Rattus norvegicus: one gene and its partners. The protein of the gene in region 5 purifies or fractionates together with the protein of the main gene of each other region. This does not show direct contact. Links are inferred from orthologs where the notes say so. Each region holds a gene or a part of one and is shown on either strand. Other genes may lie near its edges.

Region 1 (3,433 bases), on a different chromosome or scaffold from region 5:
ACAAAATGAGAGGAAATCTTTGCCAGTTATTTATATGACATGTGATTTGCACCTAGAATTGAACCAGAGCTCAGTAAATAATAAATTTATATATAAAGAGCAAATATTTTTATCAGTAAAGGGGAAACCAACAGGACAGACACTCTGAAGTGAGATGTAAATTGTCAATAAATCTATGATTTTAATGTTACCCTGACCTTAACATGAAGGTGGAATAGTAAGTCAGAATATAGAAATCAGAGTTTTCATGCTTAAGTGTGAGAAATAAATCTTTAAATTATTTCTGGTTAAAATTTCAAAACAGAGTACACTTATTTAAATATAACACAACTGCAAGTGTATTTTTAGTTAAATATAACTTACATATGCCTCATGGAGGTGCAAGTGTGGGACGCCGAGCAGAAGCCTTCCACAGCAGTGGGCCTGCTGCCGTCCACACAAGCGGACTGGGTATAAACAACCGAACTGCAGTGTGGGTAAGAAACACACAACACTACAAATGACGTTCAAACACTTCTTTTTATTACATACTAAATTTAAAAATACAAATCTCATTAAAAATGCTTATCAAACATCATATATATATGTATATATATATATAAGCACTGCCAAATGCTACTGGATTGGGACAGTACACACAGCCGCTATGGGTGATCAGAAACAGAACAGAGCAGCACAAGGTTGCTGATACTGAATTTCAGAAGTCAGACGGTTACAATTTGGCAACTGTGGAGTAGTAACCTGCACGGGGTATCTGCAGAGGTAAAATCCTAAGGAACTAACGGAATCATGCAGGACTCCTTTGAGGAGTGTTAAGTGAATCTTCTTCATCCTCTTAAATACCATTGTAACAGAAATTAAAGTGCATGAGAGCAGCAGAGTGCTTCATCTGGCTGTACCCTACGTACACACTATAGCCAGCTGCGCGGCCGGGCTGAGGGCTCCAGTTTCTGCACAGCTCCAGAGACTTTCCAAGTTAATTCTGAACATGGCTAAAGGAAGAGAGGCCAACATTTTCTAAATTGCACCAAATGGCCTGAAAGTGTAAAAAACACTAGATTTTTCTTTAAAAGCTAATTTGGGGGTGGTAGAGTTAAGGGAAATGTCTATATGTATTTTACTCAAGCAATAAAATTAGAATAAGGATACAGTTTTGCCCCTGGAAAATGCTTACTAAAATCTTCAAAAGTTCAGATGTGCAGAAAGCAGGACAATACTGCCAGCCACTTGTCACTCTGACACTGTGCATCATAAACACCAGGCAGGATGCCTGCCCTCTAAAAGCTCACAATAAACACAGGCAGCAACATGTTCACACCTGACACAATGCTACTAATAAACACCAAATATGATCTGCAAAGAGGTCACTGCCATCAAGGAAGAAGAGAAGGAAAACCAGTCTACAAAAGTGCTCCCTTTTCTCCTCAAACCCAACAGTTTAATCTGGGGTAAAACAAGATTGTACAGGTAGGCCACCAGTTTGAAGTACGCTGGGGACACTGTATATACACACGCACACACTTGTGTATAAATTTCAGTTCTGATTGAAACTACGGCACTAATACAAATCATTTATAGGAAACATTTCATCAGCCTTATGTACAAACACGAGTGGCAATGGTGGGGTTGAAACTGCAGAGGACTGCAGCTGTAGCTCATTAAAGGTGAGACGCACTCACATGAGTAAGACACAAACTGAACAACATGGAGAAAGAAATACATACCACACAGACCTGTTGGCACGGGACCTACGAGGCAAATAAACGTGATGGTCATGATTAGCTCTAATCACTATTCCTCTTAATGACTTACTAGTATGGGGTCTACTTTGAGGACGACCTAGAAGACACATTCTCTCATGATGGGTGGGAGTACTAAGCTGCTGAATACACTTCCTGGCTCCCATGGCACATTACACTTGGTAACACTAATAAGGTACATGTGGGGAACACTTAGACCGTGATTACGAGTGTTTAATTGAGTATTTTCCTTTCTGTAGCTGTGAAATATAAAGCTTAGATTTGCTTCCATCAGGCCTCTTAAACCAGACTTCATCATGGTTAATTGTTGTGATTACAGCACTAAAAAGGAAAAGAGAGAATGAATTACAATGTGCTTCATTTCATTTCCATTTATTGTTTTATCACTGGGGGTTCATTTCTCTTTTCTTTTTCCTTATATATTTAAGGACATGCTTTTATAGCCCAGGTTGGCCCTGAGCTTGCATTTCCTCTGCCTCCCCCCGGTTTATACTAATCTTCAGATTATTAGCTTAAATCAAGCTCTCACACCAGATGTAATAGGCTCAACAGGTTCACGTACCAGGCCCTGCACTAACAACTCTAATGCTGCTATCTAGAACAAAAGGGGTTTCTTACAGTAGAAAGCTGATATTCTGAGAATTTAACTATAAAGGACGAAGGCAATAATTCATTAATATTTGCAAAAGATCACAGCAAGATATTTTATAGGCTTTCTTTCCTGCCTAAATTAGTAATTTTTTGTCTGAAATACAGTCTTCTGTATCCCAGGTTGCCCTCCACCTCTACTTGTAGCTATTTGTGTTGGGAGCACAGAGGTCCTTGTGCTCACAGATAACTGGAAAACCAGGAATTTAAACACTCAGGGTTCTCCACCCAGCAGTCTGGGATTGGAGCTGGCTATTAGCCTAGGTGATCCTTGTGCTACCTGAATGGCCAGGAGTTCTCCCAGGCTCCCACACACAGGACTGGAGATGGTTAATAGTCTAGGTGACCTCTGTACTGTCTGTATGACTAAGACCACACCAGATCTTCCCCGAGGCCCTAAGGAAGTCACATGAAGCCCATCTGGAACCCGTCTTCGTGAAAGAAGTGATAATTTCTTTGAGAAGAGTTCAATGTAATATGCCTCTGTGTGCACACAGGATTTGCATTAGTTTCCCAAACTGTACTAAAATATAACTAAAATAGAGCCTAGAATCAGTTCTAGAAGTCTGAACCAACACCGGCCACTAAGTTACGCTGAGTGGGATTGTCTTTTTGCTTCATGCAGATCATTATTCTGCTGGCTGTGGCACTTGCAGAGATCCCCACAGCTCAAGACTGGCCTTGAACGCCTGATCTTCCTGTTTCCACTTCCCTAGTTATGGGATTACAGGCTCTCCACCCTGCTCAGTTCACGTCGTGTTGGGGACCAAAACCAGGGTTATGCGTATGCTAAGTAAGCACTCTAACAACTGAGCAGCACTGCCAGCTGATATGTCTCTTTATCGAGAAAACTGAAATGGGGCCAGAAGAATTAAGAACTAATAGGCCCACCAAAAGTTCTTAATAGTCTGTAAAGTCATTATTTTAAGATCATAACGATTAATTACACTGTAAGAATTAATAATCAGGATCACTTATGGATAAATTCCAAGCAAATCCACTATGTTAAGGTTGATCCACTCTAA
Region 2 (3,500 bases), on a different chromosome or scaffold from region 5:
ACAAATGGAAGACAGAAACTCCCTATAGTGGCCCACGCCTCCCCCACACAGCCAACTGAACATCAGGGCGAGCCATGTGCACGTACGGCACCTGCCTGCACAGGATGTCCAACAGCAGCCATGGACATCGGGGCTAAAGGACCACTGAAAAGATGGCAGGAGTGGTGTACTACCTGGGTTGTCTAACCAGTGTTTGTTGAATGAATAAATGAGCTTCTCGAGTTCCTGCCTATTACTTCCAACGAAAGTCACAGGCAACCAGAACGGCTCATCTACGAGTTTTAGGATATAATCTCCCAACTACACTACACCCTGAGAGCAACAGGACTGTCTAAGAAAAGGTACCGCCGTCGGGTGAAAAGCATCTACCCCATGAGAGCCGTGTGGCGCTGAGAACACCCACTCGGCTTACCTCCAACCTGCTTAGATCACAAAACCCTTTCTTCCTGTCACCTTTAACATAGGAGGGGGTGGAGAAGGCCATATACCCTGTCATGGCTAGACGGGGACAGCCTGTAAACTCTAGCGTGGAGACAGCAACATGATACAGAAAGCTCCACAGGGCATGCTTGGAGAAACACTGCTCTCAGTGGCCTCCCGAGGCATCCACCAGCTGGCCCTTAGTCTTCAAGCAGAAGCTCACCAAAGGCTCCGAGTCTGGGCCAGAGCCCAGCACTGGGCCCGAGTCTCAGCACCACCAAAAGAAACTAAACTAATGTCCAAAGAGCTAAGCCGAGAAAACAGAGACAACATCGGCTCACCCGGCCCAACCCTCCCAACAGCCCTGCTGACACCGCTATGAGCTGTCCACACGCCTCACAACTTACCATCGCTCTTCCGAGACGGCTGTGAGCCGCACATGCTCCTCGTGACTTACCATCTCTTATCATAATACAGTTTGCCATCTTCTATCCGCGCCTCAAATCTCTGTGCTGGAGACTCTGCAGGTGTGGCAGGCAAGTGTTCAGGAGAGGATGGGGAGGCTGGAGGAATTAGAGACGCCAAGATGACAAGCAGACAAGTGAACCTGGCCTGAGCAAGGGGCTCAGCGATGCCACGCAGGAACTGATACACCAGTGAGGCCACAGCCCTGACCAACAAGTCCTTCAGTTAGTTATGGAGCCAAAGTCACTGTGCTGCCTGGGTTGGGTGCAGTGGCTATCCACAGGGGCCTCTGGCTATCCACGGGGGCCATTAGTGCTGACTGCATCAGTCTCTGTAACCTGGTGGCCCCTCACTGCCAGGTTAACATGTTGATTCTAAACTCAGTGTGGTCACCAAATCAGCATAGCTCAGTGAAATATTCTGAGTGTTTCAAGGGTGTATGGCCTACTAATGAGGACTAGGAACAGCCAGGGGGCCTAACCTGACCAGACCTTCACAGACCAGTAATGCCAGGGCTGAGCTCCAGAAAGCCCAGGACACTGAAATTTCCGATGGATTCAAGAGTGGAACTGAAAATGGTCCTGAACCTAGTGTCCGCCCGACACCCACACAGAAGGAGCCTCCAAGAGCCAAGCGAAGGTCTCCTTTACAGTAGAGTCCTAAGGAAAAGACAGAATGGCTGGCTTTAAAGAGACAGCACAGAAGAGACGGGTTTATGATTTCCTGTCCTCCTCATGACTTCTTGTGATTCACTCCTGGAAACCACACACCTGCTTTCCCAATGACAGGGGACAAAGACTGGCAATGTCATCGGCACTCACCTGGTCTCTTGGGTGACTTAAGCTGTAGGAAGAATAACAACAAAAAGGTCTCAGAGAAAATCATCTTACAAGCAACTTAAAGCATCAGAGGTGTCACGGTGACTTTAACAAGTGACAGGGACTTAAGTCACATGTGAGCTTTCAAGTACGTCAGAAACATCCCACTGTACCTTGTTCAGTGTTCTCAGATCTTCCATGATCTGCTCGTCTGTCAACAAGTAGTTTAGCTGAGGTGCTGAGAGTTAAAGAACATGTGCATCGCATGGCTTCCAAGGAAAGGCACACAACGCCCCGACGTTTTGGGACTGGAGAGGCCCAGGCCACACAGAGGCTGTCCTCAAGGTAAGAACTCTCCTCTTTAAAACGCTGACTCTCGTGCTAAAAGTCATCAGGCATAGGGAAGAACTCAACATGCCTCTCGCTCGGACAAACTGCTCTGAGGGGAAGGGAATTAGATGTCAGCAGTGGTGGGAACACAGGACAGTAAGGGGACAATTTCATCTCAGGGTTGAAAGCACTGAAGCTTTCCAGACATAGAGGGAAACTCTAGTCTCACAGGGGCTTAATTGTGCTGCGAAGGTGAGAGGGCCTGGAGCTTGTCCTCGGCTGGAGGCACACAAAGTACAGCCCACTCTGGCCCACCGGCCATGTCTATGGGTACACAGCATCTTTCCATAAACGCCTTACCTACTTGTGGCCAGTTCACAGCCCAGCAGTACAGAGGCAGGTACCTGGTGGGCCCGGGCAGTCTGCAGCCCAGTACTATAGTCGGATAACTGGTGGACACAGCTGTCCCTCAATTTACATATCTCATTGTAAGTTGCCCTGAGCTCTAAGGGAGTGTGAAAACAAGGCTGTTTCTAAAAGAGTTCCTTTCTATGTAACTTCTCTGGAAACCTCTCCAATAAAAAGCAATAGCTGAAGACTCCAGGGCAAAACGGCCACCCGACCCGTGGGTTTCCATATGCTTTCCCGACCAGTGCTGGCACTGCTCTGTGAGATCCCGCCCTGTCTACTCTATCAAGCCAGCAAGCACAGGATTACACCATTCAAGCTTGGCACAAGTGGATATCAGGAGCTGGTTTTCTCCTCTTGTCTGGAATGGGGACAGGATCGTTTGGTCGCCTCCGTAATTTTCTGGTCATGATGGGTTTCACTTCCATAGAATCTGTGTCAAGAACAGGAATGAATCGATCCAACGGCCCCTGAAGCCAGCTGGAGTCCAGGCAGATTAAGAACGTTTGTCCCACGGACACCCCATCACAGCTGTATGACCAGCAAGCTCAGTCTATGCGAGACCCTGGACGCCCAGGCCAGGCTGCAGGCCCTGTGCTTACCTGAGTCAGGCTGGCTGAGCACCCATAGTCACAGGCTATGGGACTGAAAAGAGGCTGCGGATCAGGCAGGCACCTCATGTCTGCTGCTTCCACAGAGGCTGGGGGCTGAAGCCCAGGGGCATAGAAAACCCTTTTAAAGGCAACTGACCCCAAGCCCTTTGTAGCTACCTGAGGTCAAGACTGATACACCAAAGACTGGGAATGGGGCTGCCTTTCATTCTGGATTTCTCTACATGAGGTTCGGTAGATGGACTCCACACAGGGTAGCCTCTCCTCCCCCAGCAGTGGCCACTCAGATATGCTCTCCCCAGGGCGGTGGGCAAACCTGTCACCCAAGCCTGCCCCTGCCTGCAGGTTTACTTTCAACACCAGCAAGTCCTGCTCTTGAGAGCTTCAAACATCCACTTCCTCTGAGTCTGGCCAGGGAGCCCCAGAGCTCAACTGGGGCAGCATAGAA
Region 3 (3,500 bases), on a different chromosome or scaffold from region 5:
GTTAGGTCCCCAGCTCCAAAAAGAAGAAAAAAAAAAAAAAGAATAATAATGCATAGAAAGCTAATAAATTGATTGGAAGAACTTCACAAATGATTAGAAAATCTATCTAGATGACAGATGACAATTAACGGTATATGGTTACCAGAGAGGGTTTGATATTTTCTTTTCTTTCACTCTCATCCTCAGCAGGCGTCTCCTCTTTTGGTATCATGTTCTTACTGTCTTCCACATTTACTTCTTTGATCTCTGCATCACTTTCTTCTTTAACTTTTATTTCTTTATTTTCACAATCTTTACATGGCTTGTTAAGAACTTTCTCTGGCAATGCCATCTGAAAATCAATATTTGCCGACCTGCAGTACTCTTCAAAGCCATATAAGTACCTGGAAACATGCAAAAACGATACATTTAGCAAGAAACACTCAAATACATTACTGAATAGTGTGTAGGGTTACTTTAGCTTGTTTTCTTTTTGTTTCATTGGGGGTGCGGGGGGAGGGGGGGTGGCCTGAAGCCGGAGAAGATGCTAAAGCCTCCTGGAGGTCACACAGATGCATTACAGTGGCCACTTTACAAAGTTGTTAGTTAATATGCATTCATGTCTTAGGTTATATGATCATCTTAACACATTCTAATAGTTCTCCATCTTTTATTGAGAGAAAAATTACTAAATGTGTAACCCTAAAATTATTGGCTCTCTTATCTCAAGTCTCCCAAATTCTGGGGTTACAGACATGGGCCACCATGCCCAGAAACGCCCCACCCCCCATTTTAAACATTGTATCAAATAAAATCAATTGACTATTTAAAGTCACAGGTAAATGAATGGAGGTGGAAACAATCACTCTAAAGTGAGGTAAACCAGACCGAGAAAGAAAAACATCAGGTTTTCAGTTGTCTGTAAATGTTAATGTTCAATCTTCGGAATATGTGTACTTCATCTGAAATACCCACAAAGGTCTGAGGTTACTAAGAAACCAAAAGAAGGGACCTTTAAGGGAAGGGATTGAATACACTTGTATAAAAAGTTAAAAAGGGAATAATGGAACAGGAAGAGTTAAACCGGGGTGAAGGAATGGAAGGTGTGTTAGAAAAGGGAATAAATAACAAAGACCTTTTAAAAACACATTACGCAGTAATCGATCAACAATGCCCCTACTAGACACCAGAAGATAACAAATGAAAAGCCCAGTGGGGATGAGTTACTTACTGCCTTTGAAGGCTATAGGCCTGATAGTCAATAGACCCCTGAAACATTTTAAGTTTAAGCTATTACCTAACTGCTCTTGGTTACCCTTCAGAACTGGAGAGCAAGATACTACTACTGAAGACACCACATGCTTGAGTTATAGGATTCATGCTACTAGAAACGTGGATATCTCATCCCAAAATGCTGTCTTTTATAGTCTGAAAGGTGCTAAGTAAACTACGGGAGGAGAAAAGTAATCCTTAATCACACCCAACTATTTTAACGTTTCCAGCTACAATGATGACTGTGGCCTGGAAAACGTGCCCTCTAGGGCAACAGTGGCACAAACACTGTGGGAGTAATCAACTGCTTCCTGTGAGTCCCACTCCACAGAGCAAAACCCATACCTGGGTACCACTACAAGGCTAAGAACCTGTGTCATTAGGTCACAAGCCCTAAAGGAGAACCTATTAATCTTTGGCTTAATGGACAAATATTAAACTAATAATTTACCATTACACTCACAGATCACCTAAGAAACTTCTACTTGCAGTAGACAATGGTCCACAAATAGTTAGTAGCTAAGGTACAGAAAATAAGAGACTGCAGAATGCTCAGTCCTATACAGAAAAAATACATGTGTATGTGTATATGAATATATAGCTACTCCCCTTCCAAGACTCAGAAACCACTGTGGAAGAAGGAATGTAAGGAGTACAACAGCCTATTGTAGTGGATGGCTACAAAGAAACTGTCTTCTATACACAGCAGGGGAGCTACATACATGAACTCAAAGTAGTTGTAATACAATGTACAAAACCTATGTAAGACAAAACCAGACCAAATTGAGTACTCGATCCCACCCAAGTTATGGAACTATTGGTAATTGTTAGCTGCTGGGGGGTCGGGGAGGCAGGCAGGCAGGGAGGGAGGCGGGCAGGCAGGCAGACAGACAGACAGACAGAATTTTCTCTCTAAGTATAATCCCTGGTAAGTTAACCACTCTCCAAGTAGAAGAACATACATTTAAAAATATTTAGGCCACACAAATTGGTCTTGTAGAAAAAAAATGACAGATAAAGGAGGGAAGTAAAGAGAGAGAAAGAAAGGGAAAGGAAAGGGAGAAAGAAAAACAAAGTTGGGTGGGTGGAGAAGAAAGAGTTAGGGGTGAATGTGGTCAAAACACATGAAGCGCCCAAGGAACTTCAAAAATAATACCTGAAGTAAGAGTGAAAAGTTACAATCTAAATAAAAGTAACAACAGTAGATACAAAGGAGAAGCTATAAAGATTATAAATGGTAAAAATCTATTTTGAGTATTTATAATATGCAAAGTATAAGGCACTTTAGTAAACTTCATTCAAAAGCAGAACATTCCTAATGGGCAAGCCATAGTGACCCCTTTGTAAATAAACTAGGGAAAATAAACTTAAGGAAAGCCAGATAGGGTCAAAGAATACCCACAGCTAATAGGATACCTTTGGCTCTGGGACATGAGCTTTTAATTTCTATGCAGTACTTTTCACATGATGATGGAATCTAACATTTTCTTTACAGATTCTTTAATATCTAGAATTATTTCTATAGACTAAATAGTAAAAATTTTCAGTTTCTTCTAAGTTAGCTTAAGTTAAATGATATATTGCATGTTGTTTTTAGGTAAGATATGAAGACAGTCACGTCAAGTACACCGACTCACTTTTTGTAAGCACATTTAACGTTATATCCTGCAGCTGAATTTAAGACAGGGATGCCAAGGTCTTGGTAGACTTGCTTCCAAACAGCTCCACTTTCAATCTAATGGACAAAGGGAAATAAAAATTTTTAAATTCGAAGTGGGATGGCAGTAATACATTTTAGCACACATAACAAATATGGTGAGCTACATTTACTGGGTCCAGGCTCAAATGCATGAAAAATAAATGATAAATTTTAATTGTGGTTTACAAATAAAAAGTTTGAGTACTCAAACAAATGCCAGACCACTCTAAGTATGTAAATATTGAGCTATTGAACTTTGAAATAAATTCAGTTATAGTAAATATAAAAGTATTATTTTTAAATCAACACTTCTAACAAAAAGAAAAACTGACATTTTCCTATCAAATTCACAAGCTAGTAAGACAAATTACTCAGTGAACTTTGTAAAGTATTTTAATCTAGAGCACACTCTGAGTTAAATGACCCATACAGGGTAACTAAAACACCATCTCAGATCAGCTTAAACACAAAAGTTTTAGAGGGAGGGAGGGAAACAGGGAGGGAGGGAGGAAGGGAGGGAGGGAGTAGCATAATCAAGTGGAGCTCTGTG
Region 4 (4,291 bases), about 14 Mb from region 5:
CCGGAGCTGGGGATCGAACCCAGGGCCTTGCGCCTGCTAGGCAAGCGCTCTACCGCTGAGCTAAATCCCCAACCCTGCAAAAAATGTTTAAATCAATTGTGTTTTCCTTTGTTTCTCTACTTAATAGACCGTGCAATAATTTCTGAAAAACACTTACATCAGACCCCCACACTAGAAAATACTTACGAATCAGTGAAAATAAAATCTGAAACAGAAATATATAAAGCTTCTAACAAAAATAAAACTGTGAAGTTGAGCTTAGCAACTAGGTGCCAACGCAGAAGCAAGGCCACTATCTGTGTATTAACCTTGGAATTAATCCCAATCAGAATGGAGCTGATTTGCATTAACCTGAGTCTTGTAAGGTCAACTACTCATGTTACCTGAACAATTTATGACAATTATAGGTAACTGGCATCACAGATTTCCCTGTCAAAAAACTATGTCACTACCAACCTAAAAGAGTGTGATTTTTGCGCCTTCAAAGAATACATTACAGTTTTGATATAAAGAAACTACATATTTTGGCAAAGAATTCTCAAGCTCATGTCTCACTGCTAGATTGCAATTCACATATGTCCCCCATAAAATACCACAGGATGATGCTCATTTTATAAAAGGGTGGAAATAGGGGCAGACTTGTAGGACTTTTACCTATCCTGTGTGAGACCTAACTTCAGTCTCTTGGGAATGAGAGGAATCATGCAGTTTAAAAATGGTTGTTTTTGAAACAGACAGCTTTGAGATAAAATATTCTCCACATAATTAACTGAATACATCACTTCATCTTTATAAATTTTGTCTAAAGTAAATTTTTACCTCATAAATTTTGAATCTGGTGAAAACACTGACGTTCTATAAACAATCTTATCAGAGACTCAGAAAACAAGTTTGTAGATTGAAACAACTAAGTGCTCTAACGTGCTAAGTCATCATGGGCTGTATTACAGGATTAAGTTACAGGACTGGTGATGGTCCGGGAGAACAGAATGGTTCCATGTTGTTTTTATGGTCCATATTAGATCTCTACAGTTTCCTGACTAGGAGTTACTAAAGCCTGAACATATCCCCATTTAAATATCTCCTGTCCTAGCAGTCCCTAAAGGACCTAAAGGTATGATAGTCCCTAAAGATAATTCCCTGCCCTAGTTTCTTTGCTAACAACACAAAAAAGCTTTTCTCCTCATTTAAACTTGGTGGAGGAGGAACCCAAGGGTGCAAGGACGCCAGGTGGTTGCCCAGCCAACGAACCCACTTCCTCCAGAAGTCCGGAAGTGACACATAGCCCGGAACCTACGCTAAGCCAGGGTCAGAGACAGTCCCACGGCAGTGCCCGCGCCTTGATTCACTCTCGGGGTAGGACAGATTTGAAACATCACCACCCAACGCTAACTCCGCCCAGGCCCTTCTACTGTCCCGCCCGCAGTCAGTTCAGTTCACCCGGCCCCTAGGAGCAGCCCGCTGTGGCCGACGCCCGCGGGAGCGCGCGCCCCGCCCATACGACGTCACACCTGCAGGCCCCGCCCCTAGGCTGGGCCCTCCCCGCCACACACACAGACACACAGACACACAGACACACACACGGACACACAGACACACACAGACACACACCCCTTCTCCGCCCGGCCCTGCGGGGGACCCCTCCCCCTTTAACCATTGGGCAATAGCAGAGGAAGAGCTGAGGCACCGGGCGGCCCGGAACTTTCCCCGGGGCGAAAGGGAAGCACAGACTGTCCCAGTCCCGCGCCACGCCGGGAGGCGGTGGGGGGGGTGCATCTCCGGAGTCCACCTTCGCCGTCCTCTCTCCCCCTCCCCCCATACGTTCCAATGCATCTGCTCGCAGAGGGAGGAAGCCCAGCGGGCAAGGGGCAAGCAGGCCCAGCACCTAGTCCAGCCCGCGTCCCGCTGCTGCACATTCGCCAGCCCCGGGCAGGACAGAGTGCGGCACCCAGCCGGCAGGCACCGGAACAAATGCTCGCTTAAAATGGCTGATTCCCGGTCCGCGGCAGCTGCAGCCAGCCGCCAGAGCTGCAGCGGGGGCTGACGGGCGGTCCTCGGAAGTCCTAGTCAGCCGCAGCCGGGACAGGGAGGGCCGCGAGTGTGTTGTGCAGGACCCTCTCCCGGTCCTACACACCAGATCGCTCGGTGCACTTCGCGCACACTTACACCCGAGAGAGGGAAAGTACCTTGGTATTTGTTGTCCAGCTCCCGCAGCACCGACACGTTCCTCTGCATGTCGTGGGGCAGCGACTCCACACACTCCAGGTAGTCCTGCACGTAGCAGGTGAGCAGCCGGCTCCGCTCTCCGGTCAGGAGCGCGGCCGACGAGTACAGCTGCTGCTGCTGCCCTAACATCCTGCCGCCGCTGCTGCTCCTCGCCGCCGCCGCCGCCGCCGCCTCCGCATCCAGCAGCCACACATGCAACAGCCACGACCGCCGCTCCTCCGCTCGGCAGCCCGGCGCCGCGGGGACACGGCCGCCGCTCGAGAGGGCACCGCCGAGTCCCCCGATCTCCACTCCCCCCAGAAGAAACCCTTACTCCCCGCCCCCGCGGTAACAAGCCCAAGGGCGGGGCGAGACCGGGGCTCCCTCCGGCCCCCTCCCTCGCTGGGAGAGAGCAGCGGGGTTCCCCGCGGCCGACGGCGCCGGGCTCCCGGGCGGTGACACTGGCTGTCCCCCCTGGGACTCCCCAGACACCACCAGAGCTGCCCGGTCGCCCGGATCCCCGTGACAAGACCCTCGCTATCCTCTCGCCTCGCTATCAGCCTCCTTGCCTGTCGGAGTCTCAGTGGACTTGCCCCCGCCCCTTGGCCAGAGGCCGCATCTGCGCCTGCGCAGCACTCACTCCTAATAAGGCTGGGGCCCCGCCCCTATCGCCCTACCGAAGAGTTCGCATTCTCCCGCCTTCCCTGCGCCACCCGGGCGATTGGTCTGTCAACTCTCGCCTGGGGCGGGGGGAGGGTGCGGAGGGCGGCCAAACGGCAGGCTGCGCCCCGCCCCCTCTTAAAGGGGCCGCATGGCTGAGCCTGCCCCTTCGCCCAAACTCTGACGGTTGCCCCCGAGAGGCCAGGCGACCGCTCTCTCGTTTTCTGGACCCTGGAGGGAGAGGAAGCTTCTGCTCGGCTCGCTCGGTCCCGAGTTACCGACCTTGCCTCCATCTGGCGGATCCAGCGCCTCCCTCGCGAGCCTCCAAGACAGCAGCGAGCGGCCCCTGGGCGCTGCTGGCCGAGTGAGGCCTGAGAGAACTAAAGCGACCCAGGGTGCAGCGGGCGCGGCTCCGGGCATGCGCGGCGACTTCCCGCCGAGCGCCCCGCGGCCACGGTTGTGCTCCGGTCGCCGCCAGGCTCCCGGAGTACCGGGGCCGACCGCGGAGGTAGGCGGTGCGCCCCCTGCCCTCGGTTTTTAAATGCCGATTCCCGCCTCGCATGCGGTCCCCTCCCCCCAGCTCCAGGGTGGCTCGCAGGGTCGGCTCCCCTCCCCGCGCGCCTTAGAGTTTGGTTTAGGGAGAAGGTGACAAGACTGCGCCCCGCCCTGTCCCCCGACCCCAAACCACCTTAAGGACACTGTTTCCATAGGTCGAATCGCTTAGGCATCACACACCAGGGAGGACTTGGCGTGGCCGCAGAATGAGAGACGCACACATACACACAGACGACACTGTATTTTTCACTACACACACGCGCGCGGCACTGTATTTTCACTCGGCTTCACCACTAACCAGCAGGGGAGCCGTGCAGATGGGATTAAAAATCGGATCAGCCACCGAGTGCGGTGCTGTCTGTGTGAGCGGTTGGTTAGCCGCCTTACTCTCCCAGTACCATCAGTGAAATGCCAGGAGGAGGAGCTAACTGTAATTACGGATAGACTTCCGGAATGTATATAAATATGTGAGCTGTTTGGTTTTTGTTTTTGTTTCCCCAGAAATAGGTATAAGTAAGAGTACTCACCGAATTTTGATGCAACGCTTGTGTAAACCCCCATGGGAGCAGAGTCTCTGAGTAAGAAAAGGCCAGAGAGATGAGTTTGGGGTGCTCTTGCCTGGTTTGCAGCGCTGTACCTGTTGCACGGCCTGTTCCGAACACTTGCGAAGTGCTATATGCAAAGCAGGTGTTTGCCAAGGGAAATCTAGGTCCGGGTCTAAGTGAAAATTTGGATTCGTAAAACACAACGCGGAATTCGGCGTCCCGAGGACAAGAGTTATCTTGTAAGGCCTGGGAACTCAGGGGTTAATATCCTTTAACGCTGAGATTTTGACCAGTCGAATATTAGGTCAACCCAGGCAAACACACTA
Region 5 (4,097 bases):
AAAAGATATCACTGATCTGTATGGCACTTCACATGACTTCATTTACAAAATCAGACCTGTAATTTATGAAACAATTCCATCTTTGGGGAATACATATTATAAACTTTTGGAGAAATAAAAGGGGAAGTTGTATATCAAGAACTATAAGACTGTCATCTGAGATTTAATATTAATATAAAGCCAACTTACTGGCTGTATTTAATTTTGAGATTTCTCAGATGCTTTAAATGGTTAAATATTTACAGAACGGTTTTGGAGTTGCCAGTGTGATTATGATTGACAATTCACTATAGAAAACCCTGCGGTCTACCTCTGGAGTGTCGATGTCCTGAACAGGTGAGTCTCCTCCATCATCATCGCTCCCTTTCCTCTTCCTTCTGTTTCGAACACTCTGAATTAGGTTCTTATGATAGTCACAAATGTAAAGATGCCTTGCCTGGAAAGGACAAAGAAAGGTTAAAAGACTGTGAGTCCAGAAAACTAAGGTCAGTAAACTGCACAGGCCCAGGCAGCTCACTAAAAACAGTCTAATGGCACTGGCAAGAGGATGCATGTTTCTTTCCAATACTAAACTGCTGTAACATTAGCAATCTGTGATACTGTTAAGGAGATTGGGGGAGGGGTGTAGTAGAAAGTGATGGGCTGGTAGGAAGAATGGTTGGAGAACTCAGGCAGGCACCTGGCAGGCAGACAAGCAGAGGAAGAGAAATTCCAATCCTCTGTGTTTTGTCACCAAATTGCATCGAGGGTGACCTAAATAAGTTAGCTCCTGCTGGTTTTGACTTAAGGGGAGAGGTGACATTGCCCACAATTTTGTACTTGTTAGTATTTTCTCTAACTTGAGAACAGCAAATTATATTAATGGCACATATGCTTCCTTATCTTTCTAATTAGATAGTCAAATTCTACACAGATACAAAGTATGCATTTTTTTACGAATGTGTCATTGAATTCATATTCATATCCTATGTTTAAATTTCAAGCCCCAAGGTTTCTTTTCAAGAATTAAATGAATGCATTTCACTGTATTATGTTGTTTTCAATTAAAGCAAATTGAAATTATTCACGTTCACTTACAAAGTTTCTCATGGACCCTACTGAGAAACTGCCCAAACAGAATCACAAATAAACTTTTCAAAAAAATGTAATTACTCAGGCATTTGAGAGTTATATACGGTGGGATAGAAAGTACTGAGCTGGTTGACACTCTCCCCCTCCCCGCTTTTAAGGCTACAATTAAAGGCCGAATGAACAGGCTTTTCAATTGACTTCTAAGCTAAGGGCAAGTTAAAAATATACAGGATGTGTGGAGGTTCTGTATCTTGTTCTTCCTTTGCCATCAGTCAGAGCTCTGAAAAGTAGTAGTGGAATTCTCTGAAACCTCATAGCTGGCCAAAACAGCAGACGTGCATAAAGACAGAAAAAGAAATCCCGATGGCTGCCGAGAGGGTTGTAAAACCGCAGAGGCTTATTTGCAGCCTTGGTTCAGAGCAGCTGCCCGAAGAGCTGACACCGCAAACGCCGTTTACAACCATCTCTCTGCAAGGCAACTGGTGAGCTCGGCTTCCCTGCCTGTGTTCAAGAGAAAGAGAACACCGAGGAGGAAAGAAAAAGAAAAGGGGGGGGGGGCAGAAGGAAGGGGAGAGAGAGAGAGAGAGAGAGAGAGAGAGAGAAAGAGAGAGAGAGAGAGAGAGAGAGAGAGAGAGAGAGAGAGAGAGAGAGAGAGAGAGAGAGAGAGAGAGAGAGAGAGAGAGAGAGAGAGAGAGAGAGAGAGAGAGAAGCATTGTGGGATCCAGCCAGACTCTACTTTCCCTAGAGGAACAGAGCTACAGAGCTGCTCCCTGGGGCAGACACCGGCTCTGGCAGCAAAACAAAGGCGCCTCCATTCCAGAAGGGACTACACGGCTGCGAGAAAACTACTTGGTGTCGCGGTCCCCTTTGTTTCGTTTCCAGATCGCAGCAAAGGAGGAAGAGGGAAGCCTGGCGTGGGAGACACGCGAGGCAGCGGGAGTCCGGGTGAGGGGAGGAGGGGACCCGCACCACTGCGCGAGCGCGCGCTGGGGGGAAGGTGGCCGGAGTTGCAGGGACTTTGTTTCAATCAGAGAACCACTAATCCCACCTGCAGCCCAGTCTCAGAGACTCGTGAACCCCGCCAAAGATCGGGCAGGGCACGCAGGATAAGGCAGGGCAGGGCGGTCCCGGGGCCACTTACACTCTTATCCAGCTCGATCTTCACCTTCTTCTGGGAGATGCTCTTCTGGATCCTCTTGCTGAAGCTGGCGTTGCCTGCCGCTCGCCCGCACCGCTCACCGTCCTCACGCAAACAACAGAGTTGCCCGGGGCCCGGACCGGCCGCTCCAGGTGGCCCAGAAGCGGACACCGCACCGGCACCGGGTACCTCTGCCCCACCGCCGGCAGCGTTCCCATTCCCCGCCGAGGCGGCGGCAGCTGCAGCAGCGACCACAGCGGCCACGGCGGCGGCCGCATCCCCGCCTCGGCTCATCTCCTCCGGAGTGAAGCCGTTCATGTCTGCCAGTTCGGGGGCGCCGGCGCCGCTACAGAGCCCCGCTCGCCGCGCCGCTCCGCCTCCTTCCCCGGGGCGGCCGTTCACTCCGCACCCCAAGTCTGGCGGCCGCACGGTCCGACGCCCAGAGTCCAAAGCCTGCCGGTCTGCCGGTGCTGGAATAGCGGCCCGTTCCTGTGACTGTGATCAGGACTGGAGTGGCGCCTAGAAACGGGACCCCACTCACTGTCACATGGAGACTTCAGCAGTTGGACCGAAGCTTCTCCGCCTCCTTCTAGCCCCAGAACCTGCGCGAGGGAGACGCCCCTCCTCCGGCCCCGCCCCTCCCCTGCCGCGAGGCCCCACGGGAATGGTAGTTCTTGGTCGCGGAGCCAACTTGCGCTCTGTTCTGATTACGTGCGGGACCGACGGGACAAACTACTCGTCCCAGCATGCATCGCGCGGCGAGCCACCCGTGGGTCTTTTTTTTTTTTTTTTTTTTTTTTTCTATTCCAAGCACTGGGCAAATCTGACTGTGAGGTCAGGCGTTTACCGTGTTTTCTCGTCTCTGTACTGTCATGCGAGCAAGGGCTGGATTTAGCTCCTGTTTCTTCGCAAAGTTAGTGTTCAGACCGCCAGCTGACTCCTAGAAAGAAGCCTAAATATGTGTGTGTGTGTGTGTGTGTGTGTGTGTGTGTGTGTGTGTGTGTGTGTGTGGTGGGTTAGTAAAGATTAAGTGAGAAAAAGTTTACGGGCTGTTGGTATTTATGGAAAAACTCGCGCTACCTAGAGCTCTTTAGGCGCAGAGTCCTACGTCTCCATCTCCGTGCCGCAGCTGATTTCTAGAGCGTGTCAGGTCCTCGGTACACTCGTGTGCCAACCGGTTGACAGGCATTGGGCTGCCTGTCGCCTCTACTGCAGCTTGGATCCCTTTCAAAAGGATCTAAGAGGATTTGAGACCATTTAAAGGAACCACACTAGTATCACCTTTGCTGACTGCTCCTCAAAAACTTCTCTGCGCTGGCTGTAGAGGACGAGGACGGAGAACCCTCTTCTCTTGAGTCATATATATATGCATGTGTGTGCGCTTATGTGTGTCGCGGGTGGGGTAGTTTGCGCGCGTGCGCGCCTGGGTACGTGTTTGTGCCCGCGTAGCGTGTATTCTTGCCTGCGCTTGTGGTGGGCGGGGTGGAGGGATGGGCGTGGCCATGCCAACCCTGCACCTCTGCTAATTATTGGACTATTTAGCAATCCTACTGATTAAGCAAAAATAATGCATTTCAGGTGGAGTTTTGAAAGAAAGCCTTTTTAAGATTTTGTCAATTCAGTGACTATGTACATATATGTGTGTATGTATATATGTATGTATATGTATGTATATATCAACATGGCAAAAATAAAAGTTATCCATGTTATCTGTGTATGGAGGGCACACTTGTGATCCAGATCTTGAGACTGAAAGACACAGGCTTTTGATCTGGATCTTGAGGAATAGAGGCCATGAAAAGCTTAGGTCCAAGCATGGTAGTACATACCTTTAATGCAAAGAGACAAAGCCAAGCAGATCTCTGAGTTCAAGACCAGCTTGGGACAG
Region 6 (3,112 bases), on a different chromosome or scaffold from region 5:
CTGGGATCAACTCCCCAGCATCAAAAGGGAGAAGTGGGTAACAGGAAGACATTCTCACACCTTTCTGTGGAGACTCAGAGCCATTAGAGAGCTTTGAATGAATCCAGATCAAGATACTGCTTGCACTCCAGCCCCAATGGGAGAAGCTTTAGTCCCACAAGAAGGCTAGCTGGCACAGACTACCTCCAGTCCCACTGCTTATCTCGTAAAGCTGTTCCTAGAACAAGCACCATCTGTACCTCTTTCAATGTCCTTTGTCCTCTATTTCCCCTCAAAGATACCCCCAACACACACACACACTCTCACAACACACACACTCTCTCACACACACACACACACACTCTCTCTCTCTCTCTCTCTCTCTCTCACACACACACACACACACACACACACACACACACACACACACACACACACAGCAGCAGCAGAAAACAGCTGAGCCTGGAGGAGCTGAAGAAAAGAGCTTTTTATTCGTCACTATAAGAACCAATTACAGAATCTGAGGTTAAAAAACAGACAAAAGATCTTTATTTCTGAGAATTGGCATATAAAAGGCAGAGGGAGAAAGGGGAGGGAAGAAGAGTGAGCATGGGCTGGGGTTGATGCCAGCTTAGGGCCCTCAAACTCCAATAAGGAAAGTCCGGACACCGGACAGTAAGAGTAACCCCCCCATCCCCAATAGAAAATAAAGAAAAGAGACATGGCAGTGTACTCCCCCTTCCCCCTGCCAGGGACCAACACCTGATATGTTTACTCTTCCCTTCCTCCATCCTTTTACAAAGGAAGGTAAATTTTTAAAAAAATTAAAAAACCCTCCCCCCAACTGTCCAAACCCACTGTGGGTCCCAGGCCCCAAATAGGGTAGGTACACACAAGTAAGTTCCTATAGGCTGTTTTCCATCACAGGCATGGAGAAGCCCAAAAAGGGGAGATACTGGCAGTAACACCAGAGGGTGTTCAACCCCTGCAAGGACACACGCACACCAACTCCAACCCTCCCTCACTCCTTACTCCCTTTGATACCAAAAGGAATGAAGATTTGTATGCCCTGGGCAACCAACCCTTTACCTCTCATCCCACCTCCCTTCCCCTAAGATGCTCAATCCTCCAGGACAATGGGCTCATTGGTGCTAGCAGGATGTGAAGATGCCGGCAGAGGAACTGGGGGCCGCACTGTCATCAGCGCTGTCTTCACCTTCAGGGGTAAGTTGGGCCTTCGAGCAGCTCGGCGCATTTCCAGGTGAGTTAGAGCTTTCCTTAAAGCCCTGGCCAAAAAGAGCAAGACAGAAACAGGGAGGCTTGAGGAGCAGCAAGACTCAACCAGATAAAACTCCACAATGCACTCTACAGTTCTACCCTCGCCTCATTCTGCTGTGCACCTCTCTTTCTCAGACACTCCTACAACTTCCAATGCCCGCCAACTTGATCGTCAGCCTCTCAGCCCCTCCCATGGTGGACTCCCTCCCTACCTGGTATCCTTTGTGGCCACAAATACCACTGGATTGGGAGCATCAGCAGGGTTTAGTTTCTGACGCTTGGCTGCTGGCTGTGAGCTTGAACGAATCCCTGAAGCCAGAGGCCTTCCATTGGCAGAGAAGGGAACCCCTGCCCCTGCCATCTGGAAAAGGACATGGTGTACATGAAGGAGCTACCTTCCTTAGACTCCTACTAGAAATAAAAGCCCACCCCATTCAGCCTTCCCAGTCCACTGTCACTCACAGTCTCATAGGAACGTTTCACCATAATGCCCCCCAGGCCTCGATTCTGGGTCAGCTGGTTTCTGTTGATTGGTGTCTTGGTGCCCCGAGGTGTTTTTGGTTTCAGAGGTGCCTGAGCCACTATCAGCAGAGGAAGAAGGGAGATGAAATAGAACAAGACCTTCTCATTACCATTCTTTCTTCCCTCTCTACCCTGACCAGTTGTTTACCCTAATGGCCTAAAGATTAGTAATGGAGAAAAAGGTCTATCAAGCTACTTAATCAAATTTTAAAAAACATGTTTCAGATCAGAAAATACTTATGTAAAGCCACTACTATGCCAGAGATGGAGCTCAATGGTAAATACTTGACCAGAATACATGAGGTTCTGGGTTTTGATCTACAGCACCACCACCAAAAACCAATTATCACAAGAAGCACCATAATAAGAGAACACACACACACACACACACACACACACACAGTTTATGTGGACTCAGTGTGAAAGGAAAACTCTGAGGAAGAAAAGACTCTTAGCTGGCAACCTTCCACCCACCCTGGATTGAGTGTAGTTCCCATCTCCTACCCAGATCTTTGACAATAGCTGCCAAGGGCAGTCTCGCCAGGGGGTGAATCTTCAACGGTGTCTTGGCAGCCTTAGGAAGTCGGATAGAGCCTGGAGAAGAGAGAAGAGCCTCTGGGCATTCTGCAGCTTTGTTTTGGGTTTTTGAAATGGTTCTGCAGTGAAGTCCCAGCCTAGAACTTGCTTATCATCCTGCTGACTCCACTTCTCCACTGCTTGGTTACCGGCATGTGTAACAATGCCTAGCCTTGTTTCTTAAGATTGGGTCCTACTATTTAATCCAGGCTAGGCCGGAGCCATTACATAGCCTGGTCTAACAGGGACTGAGGTAGCTATATCCTGTCTCAGCCTGAGGGCTTATGTTCTAAGCATACACCATCAGACATGGCAGATCAAAGCCTCTGCACTAGCACGCAGTCCTTACACTCTGCCTTGATGGCGTTGGCATTGATGGGGGCATAGGGTCTTCGGGCAGCCCTCCTTGGCTGTAACAGGTCTCTGCACATCCGTCTAGCAAGACGAGTCAGCTTTGTGGTCTGGAGCAAGAAAGTTTGCCTGTTCTTAGCCAGCAACTTAGCCCGGTTAGCACTGGTTGTATAGGGGGAGAGACTTTGGGCTTCAGGTCTGGATAAATGACCTCTTGAGTGTGGCTCCTGGAGGAATGATACATAAAGAAGAGAAAAGGCAAATCAACACTGCAGCTCTGTCCTCCATCACCTGCAGACAGCAAACTTCCTACCTGACCTCTTCACTGAAACCCCTGCCGACCTTCCTGGCGTCCCAATACTTAGCAAGTGCTCCTGCCCATTTGACAGTCTCCATGGAAGAAGTC
Region 7 (3,500 bases), on a different chromosome or scaffold from region 5:
GATGGATACAGTGTAAAAAGGCAAACAGTGTCTCAGCATTTCTACGATTGTTGCAAACTGCCAGGTTATGACAGCTCTGAGGAAACCTGGTTCTATTTGTTAGTTTGATTTTTTTCAACAATTTCCAACTGTTTTACATTCTAATGGAAGGTTAAAACTCCTTAAATTGATTACAATGTATTTAACTTATAAGAATAAGTCAATCCTATTGCAGGATATTAAAACTTTAATCAACGTTTTTCGTAAACGTATCACTGGAAGTCAGGTGTGGGTACAACCCTGTAATCACAGTAACTCGAAGGGGATGTTAGGACAGGTCTCTGAGTTCTAGGTTCATCAGGCCTGCACTGCAGGGCCCTGTTACAAACACAACCATCCAGGAGTGGTGCTGTGTACCTGCAATCTGCATTCAGGAGGAAGCTGCAGGAGGAGCCCAGCCCAAGTCTGAGACCAGCCTGGAAGGAAGTCTAGGAAGACTGCCTGAAAATGACAGCGAGAAACTCTCTTCCTTTAGATTACCACAGACTTGTTCTAAGGTAACTGTAGGGAGCACACAACACGCCGGGCTGAAAGTCGGTCTTGCTGCAGGTTTATCTCCACTGCCCTGTCACTTTAAGCTGTCACCCTGTCCTCCAGCCAACGTCTCTTTGCTATAGTATTTCCCTAACGGAGCACACTGTGCATTGTTACCTCGGGGTAAGTGGGAAGCGCCGATGTGAAGAGGGGGTCCGGGAGCACTGCTGCGGATAATGGACATCTGAACGTTTGTGGTCATAATGTGATGCAGGTTACTGGGATGTCCCTGGAAGAAACAGTGACAATGTTCACGAGGACAGTCTTAGCTATTGCCTACAGAAAGTCACTTTCCTTCAAACTGGGTCAGGCTATTCTTGAAAATTTTCCTTTTCCTTTATGCTGTTTTGGAGATTTCCAGGGCAAAAGCATGTATGATTCAAGATTGACGTACGGTCTTGAGTCAGGCCATTCCTTTTGGATACTGAGTATTGTGTACGGCTATACTACCCTGCATACACCCAATCTCAACTGGGAGGCACCCAGGGAAAGGGCTCCGGGAGCTTTGTCTTCTACTGTGTTATAATAATGACCTGTAAGCGAGCAGGTCAGAAGTGAGTGCACTTGAGCTAGTTACCAGACCCCGGACCGAGGAGACATCTGACGGTCTATTTGTAGTAGCTCATGTCTGCACCAGTCTTTTAGACTTGTTCTCCCTTTCCTGGCCACAGGCTCATTTACCCACCACTCTATTTTTTTTAAATAGATCTTTGTATCCATTACTGTTTATGCTATTTAAGATTTCTACATGCATGTCAGTCAATCCAACAGATACTGCCTCTAAGGGCTTCAGCTCATTCCTTCAGTATCCAGCACACTGACGTAAGTGCATCTCAGGTGACATTTCCAGACTTCTAGAAACTACTTAGCATATTAAACTGAGAACAAGACAGGGCATCTTTTTTAAATATTAATTTTTCTTAAAAACACCAAAGGGGGCTGGACAGATGGCTCAGTGGTTAAGAGCACTGACTGCTCTTCCAGAGGTCCTGAGTTCAATTCCCAGCAACCACATGGTGGTTCACAACCATCTGTAATGGAATCTAACGCCCTCTTCTTTTGTGTCTGAAGACAGCTACAGTGTACTTATATATAGTAAATGAATATTTAAAAAAAAAACAAAGGAAAAGAATCTTAAGATTTAGTTTCTTCACAAATAAGTGTGATAATTCAAAGTATTAAATAATCAACTACAAATAATGGAATACAATTAAAATTTCAAGTTCAAACAGGAGATTTTGGTATAAATGTTCACAAACAGGGCAGACAGAGCCTGCTACACATCTACTATCCCCAAGAAAACCTAGGATGCCTCCAACAATCCTGCTGGGAGGCAGTCTCACCTCAGAACTGTCTCTTTCTAATTAAGCACGTGAAGGCTGTAACTCTATTTGTAACTATCTGTGATTTTATTAGGAAGGTAGCATAGTAGCTGGCACAGGATATGCCCAGCAGATACAGCCTAACCACTAAGCAGCCTGGGACTTACTCCTTTTGATTCAGCGCTGTTCTCTCTCTGTGGGCACCAGTAACCATTTAATTATTTAGGACACTGCTTATGCATCCCTGGAGTTAAATACACAATAATCAACAGCTGGTACTGCCATTAGAAAACTAACAGTCAGGAGGAGAAAATAACCTGTTGTCCACTGATCGTTGCCACAGGAATGGCTGAAGCCTGAGGGATGCTGCTCTCCATGGTAACAGTAACCTGTCCTGGAACTTTCGGGGGAAGTGACATGGTAGAAGGGGGAGCAGGAGCAATGGGACGGCTCGGCATGGTGGGCTTCGGGGATGGCTGCAAATAGAAAAGTGCAGGAGACGTGTCAATAGCTTTGCCTAGAGGTGCATTTCAGTTTAACAGCACACACGTCCAGTCGCAGAGGCGTACAAAATGAGACAGGCAGCACATGGCTCACCTGTCAGCACAGCTCTTCTGCAGAACTACTGGTGGTTTATAGAACAGAGGACGAAATGTCCAGACAAGCTAAACGTCTTACTCAGAGACACAGAAAGTACAAAGCAGAACTGGGGAGAAAGCCTGGATCTGTACTGCTCACACTATATGCCTTGTCTTCTACACAATTCTGCCTCTCACATCTGCACAGAAGTAAACAGAACTCTCAGTAACTAAAAGTTACTGAGTTAACCCAAGTAACACAGAGAGCAACAGGCTCAGATACCCCCAAGTGAGTCAGCTTCTAAAGCAAACCACGGGAAAGAGTTCCAAGATCAAACTCACTTAGCATATATGTAAGCTGAGCAATTATCAACATTATACCACAGAATCAAACATGGTGCTATACACCTACAATCCCAGTAAGTGGGGGGCAGACCCAAGAATACGGTCCCAAGTTTGAGGCTAGGTTGGTCTACATGGGGAGTTCCAGGACGGCCTGGATTATAGTATAAACTTCATTTTAAAACAAATAAGCAACTTGATAAAAAATACAACAACAAAAAAGGGTAACAGAAAACTCCTGTGACGCCAAGTGCCCAGGACAGCCTCATCACTGCAGACGAGTAAACCTCTACATTACAGTGAAGACTGAACTGACAGTCAGAGGGGAAAAGCTGAGGAAGCACCCTAGGACCCAACCTAAGACTCGGATAGCTTTGCTCAAGGGCAAGCTGTCTCCAGCTGTGGTTCAGCGTGAACTTTAAACTGTTACCTTCATAAGTCCTTCCGAAAAAGAGAGTGTGACTGCTGGTGTCAGGTGTGCTGGCGGGGCTGTCACTGCGACAGGAGTGGCTGAGGCGACAGCATGGTGTGCGGGCAGCATCTGTACCTGTGGATAGGGCCTTACCACAACTGGCTCCTGCTTCTCTTCCCGGGGCGGCAGGGAGCTGCTAGGGCCCACGTGCTCCCTGGTACCAACATCAGCATCTCGGCCAGCCTCCTCGTTAACTAGTGAAGATATTAGGAT

The links.
Region 1: the proteins of Sap30 (region 5) and Brms1l purify together in Homo sapiens (affinity purification with mass spectrometry; 4 studies listed by BioGRID and IntAct, with this or other methods). This does not show direct contact. The link is inferred for Rattus norvegicus from reciprocal best matches to the Homo sapiens genes SAP30 and BRMS1L.
Region 2: the proteins of Sap30 (region 5) and Suds3 purify together in Homo sapiens (affinity purification with mass spectrometry; 4 studies listed by BioGRID and IntAct, with this or other methods). This does not show direct contact. The link is inferred for Rattus norvegicus from reciprocal best matches to the Homo sapiens genes SAP30 and SUDS3.
Region 3: the proteins of Sap30 (region 5) and Arid4b purify together in Homo sapiens (affinity purification with mass spectrometry; 5 studies listed by BioGRID and IntAct, with this or other methods). This does not show direct contact. The link is inferred for Rattus norvegicus from reciprocal best matches to the Homo sapiens genes SAP30 and ARID4B.
Region 4: the proteins of Sap30 (region 5) and Ing2 purify together in Homo sapiens (affinity purification with mass spectrometry; 3 studies listed by BioGRID and IntAct, counting the BioPlex papers as one, with this or other methods). This does not show direct contact. The link is inferred for Rattus norvegicus from reciprocal best matches to the Homo sapiens genes SAP30 and ING2.
Region 6: the proteins of Sap30 (region 5) and Mta2 purify together in Homo sapiens (affinity purification with mass spectrometry; 3 studies listed by BioGRID, with this or other methods). This does not show direct contact. The link is inferred for Rattus norvegicus from reciprocal best matches to the Homo sapiens genes SAP30 and MTA2.
Region 7: the proteins of Sap30 (region 5) and Sap130 purify together in Homo sapiens (affinity purification with mass spectrometry; 4 studies listed by BioGRID and IntAct, with this or other methods). This does not show direct contact. The link is inferred for Rattus norvegicus from reciprocal best matches to the Homo sapiens genes SAP30 and SAP130.

The regions. Positions count from the first base shown.
Region 1 is NC_086024.1:79,032,803-79,036,235, reverse strand, and holds the end of Brms1l (breast cancer metastasis-suppressor 1-like protein), read right to left. Parts: intron 2,082-3,433; coding exon 1,964-2,081; 3' UTR 501-1,963; downstream 1-500. UniProt on the Homo sapiens protein: Involved in the histone deacetylase (HDAC1)-dependent transcriptional repression activity. When overexpressed in lung cancer cell line that lacks p53/TP53 expression, inhibits cell growth.
Region 2 is NC_086030.1:45,151,464-45,154,963, reverse strand, and holds part of Suds3 (sin3 histone deacetylase corepressor complex component SDS3), read right to left. Parts: intron 2,875-3,500; coding exon 2,779-2,874; intron 1,939-2,778; coding exon 1,877-1,938; intron 1,729-1,876; coding exon 1,707-1,728; intron 984-1,706; coding exon 878-983; intron 1-877.
Region 3 is NC_086035.1:55,878,383-55,881,882, forward strand, and holds part of Arid4b (AT-rich interactive domain-containing protein 4B), read right to left. Parts: intron 2,987-3,500; coding exon 2,889-2,986; intron 384-2,888; coding exon 143-383; intron 1-142. UniProt on the Homo sapiens protein: Acts as a transcriptional repressor. May function in the assembly and/or enzymatic activity of the Sin3A corepressor complex or in mediating interactions between the complex and other regulatory complexes.
Region 4 is NC_086034.1:51,306,801-51,311,091, reverse strand, and holds the start of Ing2 (inhibitor of growth protein 2), read right to left. Parts: upstream 2,801-4,291; 5' UTR 2,356-2,800; coding exon 2,187-2,355; intron 2,057-2,186; exon of another isoform or gene 820-2,056; intron 1-819. UniProt on the Homo sapiens protein: Seems to be involved in p53/TP53 activation and p53/TP53-dependent apoptotic pathways, probably by enhancing acetylation of p53/TP53. Component of a mSin3A-like corepressor complex, which is probably involved in deacetylation of nucleosomal histones.
Region 5 is NC_086034.1:37,757,197-37,761,293, reverse strand, and holds the start of Sap30 (histone deacetylase complex subunit SAP30), read right to left. Parts: upstream 2,801-4,097; 5' UTR 2,528-2,800; coding exon 2,213-2,527; intron 437-2,212; coding exon 311-436; intron 1-310. UniProt on the Homo sapiens protein: Involved in the functional recruitment of the Sin3-histone deacetylase complex (HDAC) to a specific subset of N-CoR corepressor complexes. Capable of transcription repression by N-CoR.
Region 6 is NC_086019.1:215,273,397-215,276,508, reverse strand, and holds the end of Mta2 (metastasis-associated protein MTA2), read right to left. Parts: intron 2,934-3,112; coding exon 2,705-2,933; intron 2,374-2,704; coding exon 2,284-2,373; intron 1,839-2,283; coding exon 1,720-1,838; intron 1,619-1,719; coding exon 1,470-1,618; intron 1,266-1,469; coding exon 1,100-1,265; 3' UTR 501-1,099; downstream 1-500. UniProt on the Homo sapiens protein: May function as a transcriptional coregulator. Acts as a component of the histone deacetylase NuRD complex which participates in the remodeling of chromatin.
Region 7 is NC_086036.1:23,551,745-23,555,244, reverse strand, and holds part of Sap130 (histone deacetylase complex subunit SAP130), read right to left. Parts: intron 3,482-3,500; coding exon 3,246-3,481; intron 2,372-3,245; coding exon 2,213-2,371; intron 803-2,212; coding exon 691-802; intron 1-690. UniProt on the Homo sapiens protein: Acts as a transcriptional repressor. May function in the assembly and/or enzymatic activity of the mSin3A corepressor complex or in mediating interactions between the complex and other regulatory complexes.